3 linked regions of the Saccharomyces cerevisiae S288C genome follow. Changing the gene in region 1 together with any one later gene gives a genetic interaction. Each region holds a gene or a part of one and is shown on either strand. Other genes may lie near its edges. The genes, in order: TIM17, MPT5 and MIX23.

Region 1 (4,869 bases):
ACTATATTCTTTATGTAAATGACGTTTTGGGTGTAGAGCAGAACAGAAAGTACCTTGTGCTAGACATTTTGGGTCAAGGTACATTTGGTCAAGTGGTCAAATGTCAAAATTTGCTGACGAAAGAGATATTGGCTGTAAAAGTGGTTAAATCGAGGACAGAATATTTGACTCAAAGTATAACGGAGGCTAAAATTTTAGAGCTACTGAATCAAAAGATAGACCCTACTAATAAACATCATTTTTTAAGGATGTATGACTCCTTTGTCCACAAGAACCACTTATGTTTAGTGTTTGAATTACTAAGCAATAATTTGTACGAATTATTAAAACAAAACAAATTTCATGGGCTCTCTATACAACTTATCAGAACATTCACCACTCAAATACTGGATTCGTTATGCGTTTTGAAGGAAAGCAAACTGATTCATTGCGATCTGAAGCCAGAGAATATCTTGCTCTGCGCACCTGATAAGCCGGAATTGAAAATTATTGATTTTGGCTCATCTTGCGAAGAGGCAAGAACCGTTTATACATACATCCAGTCCAGGTTTTATCGTGCTCCTGAAATTATACTGGGTATACCGTATTCAACCAGTATTGACATGTGGTCGTTAGGTTGTATTGTTGCTGAATTATTTTTGGGTATACCGATCTTCCCAGGCGCTTCTGAATATAACCAATTAACAAGAATAATAGACACGCTTGGATATCCTCCATCGTGGATGATAGATATGGGTAAAAACTCTGGAAAATTTATGAAGAAATTGGCACCAGAAGAAAGTTCTTCTTCTACACAAAAGCATCGTATGAAAACTATTGAAGAGTTTTGCAGAGAATACAATATAGTGGAAAAGCCCAGTAAACAATATTTTAAGTGGAGAAAGTTACCAGATATTATTAGAAACTACAGGTATCCTAAAAGCATACAGAACTCCCAAGAACTTATCGACCAAGAAATGCAGAATAGGGAGTGTTTGATCCACTTTTTAGGCGGTGTGCTAAATTTGAACCCGTTAGAAAGATGGACACCACAACAAGCTATGCTACACCCCTTCATAACAAAGCAGGAGTTTACAGGTGAGTGGTTTCCTCCAGGATCGTCTTTACCGGGTCCTTCAGAAAAACATGACGATGCAAAAGGCCAGCAAAGTGAATATGGAAGTGCGAACGACTCTAGTAACAATGCAGGCCACAACTATGTCTATAATCCTAGCTCTGCCACTGGTGGTGCTGATAGCGTCGACATTGGTGCTATCAGTAAAAGGAAGGAGAATACATCTGGCGACATCTCCAATAATTTTGCTGTTACTCATTCTGTTCAAGAAGGGCCAACAAGCGCGTTCAATAAACTTCACATTGTCGAAGAATAAATCGTTATTTTGTCTGACTTTTCTTAACTACCCATTTCATTTTATTACGGCTTGGTGCCATAATGATATACTAAATAAATATGAATTTTGCCTTTTCTTAATTTTCCTTATACGTATAGTCATTACAATTAATAAAGTAACATTATAAAGTTTCTGCACTAGCTTTTGGCTTGTTGATATTTTCTCTTCAGAGATGAAGTATGGTACTTTTTCAATATATAATATGTACATGGTTGAGAGAAATGGTTGGTAATCTTGAAATAAAAGGCTGAAATAAAGTAAAAACGTAAAGGAGGCTAGTGCGATACGTCATTTATGTAACAAAAAACATGCCGAATAAGGGTACTTCCAACAACGATGAAAAAATGGCTCATATAATGTCTACATGCCTAAGCTTGCAGAGGTTGAGAGGAAGGTGCTTCGGGCAAAGGAGGAGCCATAGGTTTGGCTTGCCAAGCAGCATATCTTTGAAACATTAGTCCCACACCTTCAATCACACCCAACAAACAAGCACACGTGATCGAACTGTTCCTTGTATGCCTCCAACCACCTCTTACAGCTAAAGCGCCACCAGTGAAAAACCCTGCAATGATAGCATTCCATGGGTCCTCTCTCTTTCTAACGGCCTTCACAGCGCAATCAAAAGTCGAAAATAAACCACCCCACACACCAAAATTACCACCCAGTACGGGAGCACGCGCTTTAATGGCGCTCATAGCTCCTGAACCACGCTCACCTAATGGCGAATTTCTAAAACCTTTAATCCCATGCCAAACAACACCACCAATGGCACCCATGGCAAAAGCACCACCGAAATCATTTAGTATGACTATAGGACATGGATCTCTCGAATGATCGGCTGACATAACGCTCCCGTGTACTCTATTTTTCTTAACGCTTTCTTCTGAACTTGACTCTTTCACAGCTTTTCCATCTTTTGATGAGAATAGTGCTTTTATCCTCTGGATTTGGCATAAAAATGGAAACTTTGGCGCAAGAATGCCGGGTTACCCACTTTGTTGAACAATAGCAGTAAAAAAGGCGTCCGATGAATGTTCGTTGTATACACCCGAAGATTTCTGTATTCAATGATATATATACATATCTATATGAATATACTATACACTTTATGCACAGAAATTAATGATTTGATAAAGTCCCGCTATCCTTCCGTGGCGCCACTGACAGTGGCATGTTATGAAATGCATATAATCGTTACAACCCCGAACCCGTGCGTGGGCTATTCAGTATAACCCGAATGGTATTGTTAGATATGCTTTATAATGCTGGAGTTCATGAACAACGGCGAGAGTGAACGTCTCCACCCAGACTGCTGCCGTGGCCGTATCGACTGCCGTTTTCATCGTCACCATGATTATTGTTGTTGTTATTATTACTGCTTGTGTTTTCCTGTATGCCTAAATTAGTCAGCTCTACAAAGTAGTATATCACGCCAGGCTGTGTAGGCTGGTTATTGATCCCGAAATCGCCCATGGGAGACTCCTCTACCAAGGAATCCACTCTAGTCTGGTCCCGCTGGCTCCTGAGTATACTACTGTTGCTTTTTTTGTGTGTCCTGTATATTGTTGAAGTTTCCCTCCTTAACATCTTCTTCTTGTTATCTTATCTCTTGTTTTTGCTGACTTTTTTCCCTTGTAAATACCTTTATCTGCGATCTTGTTCACCTTCGGTGCGTTGTCTTTTATATAGGCGGATCTGATCGATCTGTATCCCTATTATTGCCATTACCTTCTAGAAACATTTTCGCAGCCCCTTCGTTTCGTACGGTGTTTTCTGAGCCATATAAGTGAAGATACGTGAGAGATAATACAGTTAGATGGTGATTTACCTGAATATAAGGCAAAAATAAGAAATTATTATAGGGTTTATATAAGAGACTATTATTAGATCATGCCAACAAATCACTCAACGTCCTCGATGATTTGTTTTTGTAAAATGTAAAGGCCGTATTCTGTTGGATGGACATTTGTGACATTTTGCTTGGTCAGATTGTTCTTCTTATCTTTCCCGCCATACCCTTCATATGGGCAATCCTTCAAGTATTGACCCAACTTGCTGCCGTCGGTTAATACCACGAACTTCTTTCTGGTGGTTTCGTCAACGAACTTTTTGATTAAATCGTAAACCCAGCCGAAAACGGTGGGGACATTAACAAAATACTTTGCATATAACAGTTCTGGATAGTATTTTTGAAAGATTCCAATGACCGTCTTGCTACAGTTTTTAATGTCAGAATCCATTCGCCACACGGAGACGCCTTTATAATCGTGGACTTGGGTCATATAGTTGTTGTCGGAGCTGGTGAAATCTAATAAGCTCAAACCCTTTTCCATGAGCCCGATTCTGTAGCGTACAAACTTATCCACATTTTGAAACAATTCTTTTTTTTTGACCAGTTGGCCGTATAAGTTCCAAGTGACAGCCTTTTTATTTGCGTCGCCGTTTGCATCGAATGTCAAAATACCAACGTTTTGCAATTCTGTATTATGGACTTCCTTGTAGGCACAACTCAATGGGTTGAATTCCCTCCTCCAATTCAAAATATCGATCAGGTTCTGTACAATGGTGCTATATTCAAATTGATAGGCTTTGCAAAGTTTGTAGGTTAGACGATCGGCGATTTTTTCGTCATAGTATTTATCAACCTCCTCTTGTGTAAGACCTTCAGGATTCAACTTGTAACCATACAATTCATCGTATCCTGCACATTTTTCCTTGATAATACCAGGAATCGCTTTTTTAAGCTTATCGAAAACCTGCTTCTCACTGTCATTGTCGAATTTCATTTTAAGGATGTTAATTTAGTGAATTAATTACGATTGGGATTCTAAGTAGGAAAAAAAAAAGAGGTACAATTGCAATGTACAGCTCGTTTTTCTTGGTGCGATCACTAATTAGTAAAGCGATGGACATAGTTTTTTTTTTTCATTCCGCCCAATTCTAGCCACACCCGAGAATGTAGAAGTGCTAAAATAACCTTGAACTTTCAGATATAGTGATGATAAAGGAAACCAAAAAAAAAGGAATTAAAAAGAAGGATAATGACTATGTGGTAGTATACAAAAGGAAGTGATTACAAATACGGTGTACCGGCATGTTTCAGCAAAAAAAAATATAATTTTTTGTTATTATAACTGCATTTTAATGAAACACATTATAAGTATGATGGGATTAACTATGAAGAGGGTACCGGACCGCCTTTAATGAATATTGAAGAATTGCGGAAAAGCAGTACTATTCTTATTTAGTTTGCTTGGTTCAAAAAGTCTCGCCAAAGATCTAGCCACTTGTTCATAATAGATTCTCGATGTTGACCGGCAGCAATGTAGTTTTGTCTTTCCCAAGGTTTCAGGATTTTAAATTCGATTATCTTATAATTCAATCTATTCGCTGGCACGCTAGCTATGGGAACAGCACAGTATCCAACGCTATCTATATAACTCCATTTATCGCCAAACAATGCTTTCATAATCTGTAA
Region 2 (7,292 bases), on another chromosome or scaffold:
GAAAGTCGAAATCAACCTATCAGAAATTCCCTAAAATCTGTTGTTTCCATAAAAGCATTGAATAATAAAGGCCTAATACTTATATCTGGAATGGCAGACAAAGAGAATGTGCAACAACTGGTTATAGCAGATACGTTCCTGGAGGACATTCTGACCGAAATCCCGGTTGTATCTTTTAAAACTAAGTTCTTAAACGTGACTAAGGATACAGAAATACTCGAGATATCGGATGACGGGCGCTACTTCATTTATGGTTCAACTAGCGCTAGGGACGGAAAGGGTGATTTTGAAGTATTTTGTACCACTTTATCTGGAAATCTTGACTACGAAAAATCCGAAGGTGGAAATATCACCCTCTATCCAATAGGAGGTATGAAGAACTACTGTAGGTTAGAAAACTTCCAGTTTGAATCTATCCACCTACATTCGGCTTTCATACCCCCAAGGTACGTAAATCCGTTTGATGCTGTGGAACCTCTAGGTGAAGAGAGCAGTACTTCACCTTACGATATACCTGAAGAAGCACTTTCTCAAAAAATATGCATCTTAATTCGGAGAGAAGATGATCCCTACAATGGGGCCAATATCTTCATAACATCTGCTTTGACCTAGTTTAGCCCACCGAGATTTTTGCTTTATAAATATTTTAGCATACTTTGCATTCATATACATATTCATATGTATAAATATTCTTTAAATTTTAACGCCGACTTCGAACTAATTAGCAGTCAAAACCCAAATGTAATGACCTTATGGTGTTATAGCATAATTCTTCTTGGTGTACAATTCCATTCTGAATAGTTCAACGATTTTAGATATAGTTAGATATGATATTATAATAAAATATACAAATATGTATCATTGTTAGTACAAGTTAAACCTAAATATAATAAAGCCAACCAAGACAGGAACCAGTAGAAAAATTTATACAAATGACAAAGAAAAACAAACGGTATTTTCCTATTTATTAAAAATGCTTGAGCGAATGGATATTTTAACACATTAGTGTCCTAAAGGACAATTGGATTTGAAAATAAAATGACAGTAATAGACAAAAAGAAAACTGAATGAATGAATGGACGTATGGATTGCTTAATGAATGAATGAATTAAATAATAGTTGGGCGTAAGTTCAGAAGATGAGGAATTTAAAACAAAAATAATCGTTGACAAAAAACGATTCAAAAAAAAATTAGATCATTTTGGTAGGGAGCAATGCTAACCCTGCAAAGGCAGTGGGAGGATTTTGGATACGTGTTCGGAAACAGAATACAAAATATAAAGATGGCAATAGTTTGCTTTACCATTTTTTTCCGGCTCAAATTTTGGGACTTTAGTAGGACGTCATTGCTTAGTTGAATTTTTTATTTTTTATTTTTTATTTTTCTTTTGTCTTTGATTTCTGCGTAAAATATTTGTACAGTAAGAAGGAAAGAAAAAGAAAGAAAAAAAAGTATTATGGCAAAGTGAATTGAAGTTCATCAGATGTTCTAGCGGTATTCATGGCAGGCATATTGGAAATACTAGCGTTGCGGCTCATATTAACTTGATTATATGGGCCTTGACCAATATGCTGCGACTTCATTGACAAACTTGAATCCCAGTTTGCACCTTCCGTTTGATATTGCATACGAGGCACAAAAGATTCATTGAAGTTTTGACTATTTGCATTAGAGTATGGCGAGAAGTGATTAGCATTAATTTTGTCGGTTTCATTCATCATAAATCCAGGCTGCTTAAATCCCCTTGAAACATTAGGATTCACATTGGTAATGTTAGATGATGAGAACGAATGGATTGGTGCAGCAGAATTAGGATGTGCCATTAAATTTGCAAACTGGCGGTTGTCGAAGTTTTGTAACGAGTTATGGCTTACCAATGGTGGGTTAGTTTGAGAATTGAAAGAAGGTGCTCCCATCGAGGGATATGCGTTTTGGTTGAAGTTCATAATTTGTTGCGGAGAGTGAATTTTCTGATCTTGTGCATATTGGTTTGAGAAATTATTGGTTACAGAGCTGTTACTTCTTCTATGGTAAGCATTAGCTGGTAAAGAAAAATGACGGGTATGACTCTTTTGATTATTATTGTTATTATTATTGTGAGCATGGTTATGATTATGATTATGATTATGATTATGACTATTTTTGTTATGGGGGTTCTTATTTTCGTTGTTAATCGTTTGAAGATTGTTATGACTCATTGCAGTGACTTGAGGAGATATGTCAGTGAATGGTATACCTGTGGCTTCTGCATAAGCTTTAACTTTCAACTTAATTTTCTTTGCATAGGATGTAGTTTTAATACTTGGAAGTAATTCTTTTGTAAGGACAATCAAGTTACCAATTTTCAATGAAAAATCGTTACAAAAGTTACCGTAATTCAATGTACTAGAGCTGTTTTGCCCAATTGCGTTACTATTTTTGTTGTAAGCAAGCAGAGGAGAATAATTCTTAACGTCTAATAGCGTTTGTAACGCATAATTACCAAAATTATCCCTGATTAGCACATTTAAATTGACTGTGAATATATCAATGGTAGTCAAAAGAATGTTCATAGAAGCATTAATCACGTCATCAGAAGCAACTGCAGTCCTTTGGGAGGCACCCCCATTGTTATTAACAATAAATCCAGTAATGATTCTAAATAATTTTTTAATGAATTTTTCCACAACATTTGAGGAGAACTTCAAACAAGATAGTTGACATAATTCATTGGATAAACGGTTAAATAACTCAGCCAATAAGTAAAAGTCCAATTCTTTGATATCTAACAGAAATTGGATGATATAATTACCGAACTGATCGTTGATTAATCCAGGAAGGAACTGCACAATTTTCACAGAAATTTTGAAAATTTGTTGTAGAGTACAAACGCTTAGTAATTTTTGTAGTACGCAACAACCATGTTTATGGGTAGAAATGGTAATGATATTATTTTGTTCTACAATAGCATCTATGATGAAACCAAATTTTGATGGCGAGAATTTGAAAATACACTTTTGAATCACATGGTTACCATTAAGATCGTTTATCAAAGTAACCACTTGCTCAATCGAAGTAAATTCTTGGGAAAATCCCTTAATAATGAGATCGATTTGAACTTCGTTATCGACAGTGTCTATAATTTTCTGTAAGGAACGAGTTCCGTACTGATTGATTGATATTTGGAAAACATTTGGATATATTGTTTGTATTAATAATGTCTTTTGCTCGGCAGTTAAATAATCGCATAGTTTTTGAACCAAATAGTTACCGAACGGATCCAAAATAAGGTCCAAGAAAAATGGCTTAATTTGTTCATACATCAAGTCTCTCACCATATTGGATTCACTGGGGGTTTCTAATTTTTTTTGAAGAAAACGGCAGCCAAACTGGTCAGTGGCAAGTTTGATATAATCCAGATCTCTAAGGGGTAGTGCGCTGATTTCGACCATAGATGAAGACGTTGAGCTACTCAAACCAAATGACGAATTATCCACTCCACATTTGGAAGCAGCATTATTACTATTGCTAAAATTTCTGAGAGATGCAGCAGGAGTCACTGAAGAGGATGGTGTTTCCATAATTAAACTGGAGGTATTGACACCAGAGTTCGAAGGAGCAACAACCGTGAAATCGTGGCTTGATTTTCTCCTGGGACCATCCATTTCCAGATCAAACTCATTGATTAATGGTAGAATGGCTGGAGGATTTGCCATTGAGGCTGAAAGCCCAGTGGAGTTGCTAGCAGCATTAGGATTCGGGGAAAAAGAGTTAGCAGAATTCGATGTTGATGTATTATTCATCAAAGCCAAGGGAGATTGTGTCGATGATATGAACTGATTAAAACCAGAGAGATCAAGCGAATGAGCCTTTTGATGGTTTCTTTTGTTATTCATCTGGCCCAAAGGCGGAGGGGTCACGGGCTCCAAGAGTGATTGGACGGAGTTAATAGATAGTTGAGGCTGATGATTGTAAGACATTAAGGAGTTATTTGATGTAGACGTAGTTAAAATCGATGCTGAGTCGGCAGATGGAAATGGTTCGTTATTGATCTGATTGAATAAAAGAATGTTGTGTTAGTAAAGTGAAACCACAAAAATAAGGCGTGTGCAGAGCCGATTTTGGAGTATAAGCCTAGGATCAATTTCGATAACTGAGAAAGAGAACAATCACAACCATGTACAGTGTCCAGGTGGCCTGAGATGCGTGAGAATCAAGAGTAAATCTATCTATAAAGTTCGACTTCAATGGCGACAGAGGATGGCAAAAAAAGAGGACAGGAAAAGAGGAAGACAAAACACAAAATTTATGCTTGATTTTAGAATGAAACCTATAACCATAAAGAGTAAAATCCTTATAACTCTCAACGAATCTGCATAAATTTTTCATAGATCTTCGAATCTTTTCTTTTTTTTTTTTTTTTTGCTCATTTTTGCCTGAGGCGCCTCTTTCCCGAAGCCCTTCTTTCGAGAAAATCCTTATAGGCATATTCGAGAAATAAGGTAGGGTCAAGTATCAGAAATTCCATACGACATAAACGGAGATTGTTAGACCGCTAAAAAAGGCGTGTCGATAGGCTGATCCCACTGAAGCTGGTTTTTGGTTATTATGCTATTTGTTGTTAGAAGATCCCGTTAAAGCTTATGCTCCATTGGCGAAGAAAAATATTGGGAATTAAGAGATAATACATACCATAAGAGAAACTGGAAAAATCGTAATTGATTTATAAATTTGCGTAGAATTCGCTTTACTATGTGTTGGAGAGGAGTTGAGGAGGTTTTTTTTTTTTTTTTTTTGGTTTTTTAGCTTTTATCTTAAGGAATAGTAAAAGTGGCGGTTGTAGTAGCAGGCTTTTGCTGATCCGTAGTCCAAATCTAGTAATTTCAAGGCGCTTGACTTCTTGATGTTATTACCTTTCTTTTATTACTTAACTTGCCAATCAATGATGTGTCAATGATCTTCTCGGGGCTAGCAGATCTGTTCTTTTTTACCTGTTCTCTTTTTGTGTGAAAAGATAAAGTAAATTATGAAATAGGCTGATCTTGATGTTGACTCAACAGTACCCAAGGTTTTGAAATGTGAATTGTGTTCAGTATATTCAATGTTTCAGATATATATTGAAAGGAAACCACCTATTATGCTTTTTAGGCCTCTATGTAAGAAAATCTATACGTTTAACACAGATGCGAACCAGGAAAGAAGAAGAGTTCTTGTAGGCCACGTTTAAGAATGGCAAGAGAGAAAAAAAGAATGATCACAAGAAAACTGATTTCAGAATTGTAATATCGGACGGCAATACTAGTGTAATCTGAACCACAAGGTTAGTCTTAGCTGGGTAAAACACCTGGCGAAAGAAGAAAAAAAATAAGGAATCTGGATGATTATAAACTTTTTTAAATTACCCTTCTTTTATACATGAAAAGGGCATACAGCATACATAAACGGTAAAGAAAAAGAGGCAATCGTCAGTATTAATTGGCTCTAAGCTAGTCCAGGAAATAACCGCGTATAAATCCAAACCGTACTTCAGAACATTCAGATCTTTCTAGCTACTTGAAAGCGCGTACCATTTCCCCAACCTTAATATGTATATTTTATCACTCACTATGCAGTACTAGGCCGCTTCTTTCTATTGCTTTTCAGATTGCCAGATGCAATATATCCCGCTTCGGAATTATTAAAAATTTAGGGGTTGGCCAGATGTTTAGAACCTCGCTTTCCAGTTAATTGCTTTAGGAAAAGAAAGGCCAATATTGTTGTCATTTTTGTATTTTTTGCGCGGTACTGACCTTTTACTGCGGCGTTTCGCGTTTTTTTGGCATTTCGCGTTTCAGTGCGGCCCCCCCTCCCCAAAAAAATGGCGTATATTTTTAGTTAGTTTCTTCATCGTTCGATGCCTAAGCCGAGAATTTCAGAAGGCTTCTAAGGGCCAGAGTAAAGAGATCCATTGAGCCCCCACCCAGTTGGCAGCGGATGCCGAAGGGCGGAAGGAAGGGGCGTGTATAGGCTTCTTTACGAGAGCAAAAGACATTACAACGTACAAGGGACATTCCGTTCCCTTGTACGTCATGTTAATGAGCAAGAAACCGCTCACCGGCAATGGTTGGTGGTAGTGGTAGTATGGACTCTTTGGGTGATGAAAAGTAATCAGAACATTCTGCAATTTCTTTACATTTCCAATACTTGCTCCATTTAATCCTTTCCTTAGGTGGCGATAGCCCACGCGAAAGACGACCTAGGGTCAGGAGATTATCAATGCACTTGAGGCTTTAACTACTATGGCTTAAGAAGGGTAGCTACTTTATTTTTGTGCTTTTAAGAAATGTAATCATTAATTAAGTAATTAGGAGGTCAAGACGAAAACCATAAATAGATTGTGTAGAAGGGGCCGTACATTTTGTTTCTTATGCAATGTGGTAGTTTCGTTTACCGCCCTCGCCGGTCCATCACAGCATTTTGGAGTTCCTTTCTAAGGTCCATCGGAGCACCTTTATTTTTTTTGCGCTTCGGATAAATTGCATTTGGTTGATAACTTCCATCTCCACCCGTCCCCTCGCACCGGACCTTTTAAAGATCCCTTTGTATATAATAAACCAACGGGTCCTATAAAGACTACCGCTGATATCTTCGGTTTGCACAACGTCCTTCAGCAAGCAAAATATGGCTGTTTTTATTCTCTGTATGTCCTCATTGATGAGGACTCGCAACAATCTTGGCTATTTTTTTCGTTGAGCATACCCGGTCCCTGAATCTTTTGTGCGGGTATTATACGAAGAGCGGGTGTGCCTTACTTATCCGCGCGGTATATAAAGCCATACATTGTTAGGACAGGTGTCCCCAATAAGAAACACTACTTGTAAGTGGTATATAATGCTCGAGCCTCTAGTGACTCGTACTCTACGCCTTGAAATTGCTGCGCACATATTCTGCATATAAAAAGGAAGCTTTGAAGAATATGGTACTACTTAAAGAACCTGTTCAGCCGCTGCCTCGATCATCTCTGTTATATAATAATGCGAGCAATAGTAGTAGTCGTATAAAAGAGACAAGAAAAGTCAAACTATTATATAATCCCTTAACTAAGAGACAAATCCTTAACAACTTTGAAATTTTAGCCACTTTGGGTAATGGACAGTACGGCAAAGTGAAATTAGCAAGAGATCTCGGGACAGGTGCGTTGGTTGCAATAAAAATTCTTAATAGATTCGAAAAAAGAAGCGGGTATTCTCTTCAATTGAAAGTAGAAAATCCAAGGGTTAATCAAGAAATTGAAGTAATGAAAAGATGTCATCATGAAAACGTTGTGGAATTG
Region 3 (4,753 bases), on another chromosome or scaffold:
AGGCCCGTCTATAGCGTAGTTAACCCCTCTGCAGGAGTAAGTGACTTTTTTTACGCTCAAAAGGCAACGAGGGCACATACTTAAAAGTCATTTTCAAACACATCTGCAGTTTGCAACGACAGATAACAATATTATGATAGGATGGTATGATGTTATTAGCTGCCACATATTTTTTAACATAGCATTAGTCACGTCTCTTCAATTGTTGGGATGAAACTCTAAAATATCATTCCTTTAGTAGTATTCCAGTTACCAGTATATTATCACATGCCGAAAAAGAAGATGACATAAAGATCGACAAACAGTCTTCAAATATAATGGAAGCTGGAATGCAAGGATTGATAATGTAACAGGATACTGAATGACAAAGTATAAATGAAAAAAAAAAAAAAAAAAAAGTAGTAATACTATTATGTGGAAATACCGATTCCATTTTGAGGATTCCAATTGTTGGAATAAAAATCAACTATCATCTACTAACTAGTATTTACGTTACTAGTATATTATCATATACGGTGTTAGAAGATGACGCAAATGATGAGAAATAGTCATCTAAATTAGTGGAAGCTGAAACGCAAGGATTGATAATGTAATAGGATCAATGAATATTAACATATAAAACGATGATAATAATATTTATAGAATTGTGTAGAATTGCAGATTCCCTTTTATGGATTCCTAAATCCTGGAGGAGAACTTCTAGTATATCTACATACCTAATATTATAGCCTTAATCACAATGGAATCCCAACAATTACATCAAAATCCACATTCTCTACACCAATACCATCGACGAGAGCTTCTAGTAAATTGTATACATAACAGTATAACCCTTACCAACAATGGAATCTCAAAGATTATTAAATTATTCACAGACTCTGAGGATTCGGGTAAAATAGGGTATTTAACTGGTTACCGGAAAGGTTTAGAAAATTCGTGGAGGGTTGGCCGAGTGGTCTAAGGCGGCAGACTTAAGATCTGTTGGACGGTTGTCCGCGCGAGTTCGAACCTCGCATCCTTCAGTATTTTTTTTGATGATTTAACGTACTATTAACTAGAATAATAGGGAAATGCAATTGCAGTTTGAGAAGAAGAATTATTAATAAGCCAAAAAGCGGCTCACTAAGTAAGTTTTTCTTCATGGCGTCCTTTGCATCCAGCAATAATGGTTTTAGCAAAAAAATCTCTTTCACTACACAAGTTGGAGCATATTTTTTAACAAATACAGATAAACGAAAGGCGATAATAAGTATACTTCCTATGTACAAGAATCTTTAAGTGATATAATCTTTCAGCGGACTAGAAGAATAGGGCGTTCAACTGTTGTCCTTGCAGAATTGCGTAAACTCCTTCAAGTAGTCATTATTTTGCTCGCAGTTTTGCCTTAAAATGCCCTCTGTTGTAGAAGTTAAAATTTGTTCTATTTTTCTATTATTTGCCACCCACTCTGTCACCTTCGTCCAATCCTTATATTGAGCTTCCTGTTTCTCCGCTCTTTCTCTTGCAGCGTAAGGATCAATTCTTGCGTCTATAAGTGGTTCCGCAGTAGTCTTTTTATTATTACCGCACTGCTGATCGGTCTCGTTCTTCATCTCTGCTGCCTCTTTTTCGCAAAATGAAATTATATTATTCCGTATTTGCCAGTTCGGATATAGTTCTTGCTTCAAAAATTCCTTACACTTATTTTTTCCATTAATAGAGCCTTTCCTATAGTTGTTTAATTTTTGTCTTATTATATCATCACTTCCATGCCTTAGAAACCTCAAAAATGAATCTATCAAGCTTGGATCAACACATCTTTCTCGCGTAACTGTGATTGTAGTAAGTGACGGTTCATCATTCGGAAAAGTAAGATTTGTTTCAAGTAAGCTTTGGGGTGCCGTAAACGTACGCCTATTATCAACCATACCGTCTTTTTGTCTACGTGTATAAATGAGAAGTTTTTTTTCTAACTATATCCAAGTTTTTCAAACTACCCAAAGGATATTTAACTTGGCGGACAAAATTACCGTCACGTTCAAAAGTGAATATATAGGCGATTCTGGGTAACAAGCAAAAGTAAACTACAATATGGAATAGTGTAAAACTTCACTTATCAACAACAAAATCGCTTCAAGCCTCCTATCTTAGAGTCTAGAGCCTGATAAAATTCTTATGCGAGCAAGGGCAACCTGATCGAATTTTATAAAAACTATTTATGGACTAAAAACCTACAGCGCTCTTCATCATATCCCTTCCCGTTTCTTCCATTGCGTCATTCATGGTTTGTCCCATTGTGGTTGCATAGTCATTAATAGTGGTTTCTACCGTGTCTAAACGAGTTTCAATTGCCCTAGAAACACTTTTAAGGACACCATATCCATTACTTCTTCCAGAGCTTCTTACAGGTCTGGCATACCTGTGATCTTCCGTACCGGGAGGTAACTTTCTGGCTGCATTACTACTACTGGAAGATATGCATCCTCGAGCAATTGCGCTTTCCTCATACTTCGATTCGGGCCTTTCTATACCGCCCAGTAGCTCATCAAGTTGATATGGTGTGCAATAAATAGTTCCTCTAGCCCATTGTAAGGAATTCACTTGAGGCCTATAACCAATCTTTAAATCAGGATTGTACAAGGTATCAATAGGAGTATGTTGTGATATGTCAGCAGTATGATTCGTTCCGGTGGCACTTTCATTAAGTACTGAAATCAAAGAGGCTTGGAATTTCCCTGTGCGAATGACAATGTCACCATTTTCTAATATAGATGAATTTTCAACGTATTGAGCGCTTAGAGGGACCGGGCAGCGTAGATTTTTGACTTCCTTAAGCTCAGGTACTGTCAAAACTTTAATATCTCCATTAATTAGCAAAACGATCATAATAGTTGAAAGCTTTCTTTCTCCTTTACCGTCAATAATGGGAATAAATGATAATCCACTAGTGGCAATTGGATACTTGAAAAGCGCATGAGTGTCCTTAGATTTACCTGGTGATACTAAACGAATGTCATTTGCGCCACTGATAGTAACAAATCCAGGTATTGCGATACCCTTGCTTAAACCCTGCATCTTTGATATAGTAGCAGAACAACTGTAGCCAGTATCTTTGGCAAAAGAATTTATTCCTAGAATTTTTCCTTGATTGTTGGTCTTTGTTGCATCAGTGAATTTAACCTCAAATCTTCCATTAGTTGCAGGCAGTATTTTGAAAGTCATCAATTCCCCGATATCCGTTCCACATAGCATCAAAATACTAGAGAACCCATCATCTCCATATTCCATGACGCAAAAGTGAACGGTTGAAACGTAAGAGCTACCAGCTTTAGAAATGACCCTAATATTTTCATTGAAGATTATAGCCGGGCCTCTTCTGTCCAATATTATTAAGGTTCCTTCAATGAAACCAACGGCAACGAACCCGATATTACTATTCATGATTGCGGACACCGCACCTTTTTTAGCATGTATTACCGTACTTGGTATAAAGCCTTGTTTAACGTTCGTAGGCCCTCTATCCGAAACATCAACTAAAATAGTTTTTGAATCATCCAATGAAAATCTGCTAAACTTCAATTGCAGTGCATCGCTTTTGGGAAGTTGTCCGTAAAACTTGTTTGTTTCGAATTTGAAAAGAATAACATCCCCAACCTCAGATGATACCGCCAATTCCAATGTTTCCGATGCAAAGGAGATATTTTTTATGGCCAGGTTAGTAGCTCTGTTAAGTACTTTAGCAGTATTCACTTCAAATACAGCGTTGTCAGTTACTTCACTGTGTGAAGCATCCCATATTCTGACTGAACCATTACTATGCCCAGTTAGTAAAGCAGATCTGGTCTCATGCCTTCTAATATTTCTGGTGGCAGGAATACCACCTTTTAAAAACGATTCACTTTGAGCGATTGTCATCATCCCCAGCCAAAGATTTTTTTGAACTGATTGCGCTATACAAGTAGTAACCGTTGGTCGAACCCATGCTAAGCTCCGAGGGAAAATGGAGGCCTTGGAACTAAAAGAGCCTGCTGGGTATATCAATGTTTCAAGTTCGCCATCTTCTAAAAGTAATAAAATGAGGTTTGTGTCATGGCATCCACCAAAATATGGAGAAGCCTTCGGCAAGGGTAGAAAATTTATTAGTGGAGCTTTGCCAATCAACGAAAATAGTTTTTGTTGAACCGGTTTAGCATAGTACTTGCTCATTGCGTCAAATGATGTCACAGAATACATTGGTGTGCCGCCTAAGTCAATCATGGTTATTTCCTGAGGTAAACAGGGATTTTCTGTAGCTTTTGTTGCAATCAACAACGATGTATACTCAGGATTACGCTGGCAAAGCCAGCTTACTTTAAAGATAGCGGGTGTTTCTGTAAAGGAACAGTCTTTCAAGGCAGGATTTGGAAAATTCACATGTGTTTCAAATATACTTCTAGCGTGAATCAGTTTACCGCTATTGACATCCCAAAATACCAAGGAATTATCTTCATGGACAGTTAATATATGTAAGGAATTTGGGTGATAAAGTGACTGAATGACCTTTGGAGTGCGTTTCTTTTCTATGTTTGTGGATAGATCACCGCCCGGAGCATACGGTTCTAATTGGTAAAAAAAATGTTGCTTGACTTTGTAGTCAATGAAAGAATATATGACTGTAATATGCTCATATGATATAAGTATCGTTCCTATGTCTCTAGGATTCCATTGGATAGAAATAACCGGTGATAGCCTCTCTTTTGGCAAAAACACACTTTTCTGGAAGTTTTCAATTTTC

Evidence for each region.
Region 2: of TIM17 (region 1) and MPT5, extra expression of one rescues a mutant of the other (dosage rescue), as found in Saccharomyces cerevisiae (one study listed by BioGRID).
Region 3: mutations in TIM17 (region 1) and MIX23 impair growth when combined (synthetic growth defect), as found in Saccharomyces cerevisiae (one study listed by BioGRID).

Annotation. Positions count from the first base shown.
Region 1 is NC_001142.9:144,468-149,336, reverse strand, and holds TIM17 (protein transporter TIM17), read right to left. Parts: upstream 2,237-4,869; coding exon 1,760-2,236; downstream 1-1,759. Other genes in the region: serine/threonine protein kinase YAK1, read left to right, coding at 1-1,370; IRC9 (Irc9p), read left to right, coding at 1,126-1,518; ROQ1 (Roq1p), read right to left, coding at 2,664-2,978; SFH5 (Sfh5p), read right to left, coding at 3,293-4,177; IDS2 (Ids2p), read right to left, coding at 4,636-4,869. UniProt on the Saccharomyces cerevisiae protein: Essential component of the TIM23 complex, a complex that mediates the translocation of transit peptide-containing proteins across the mitochondrial inner membrane.
Region 2 is NC_001139.9:164,735-172,026, reverse strand, and holds MPT5 (Mpt5p), read right to left. Parts: upstream 4,676-7,292; coding exon 4,673-4,675; intron 4,033-4,672; coding exon 1,456-4,032; downstream 1-1,455. Other genes in the region: YGL176C (uncharacterized protein), read left to right, coding at 1-612; serine/threonine protein kinase TOS3, read left to right, coding at 6,936-7,292. UniProt on the Saccharomyces cerevisiae protein: RNA-binding protein involved in post-transcriptional regulation. Negatively regulates expression of HO by binding to the 3'-UTR of HO mRNA. Predominantly binds to mRNAs encoding chromatin modifiers and spindle pole body components.
Region 3 is NC_001134.8:8,645-13,397, forward strand, and holds MIX23 (Mix23p), read right to left. Parts: upstream 1,908-4,753; coding exon 1,317-1,907; downstream 1-1,316. Other genes in the region: putative Rab GTPase-binding protein SRO77, read right to left, coding at 2,203-4,753. UniProt on the Saccharomyces cerevisiae protein: Regulator of the mitochondrial protein import machinery that is localized in the mitochondrial intermembrane space (IMS) and facilitates the transport of proteins from the cytosol into the mitochondrial matrix.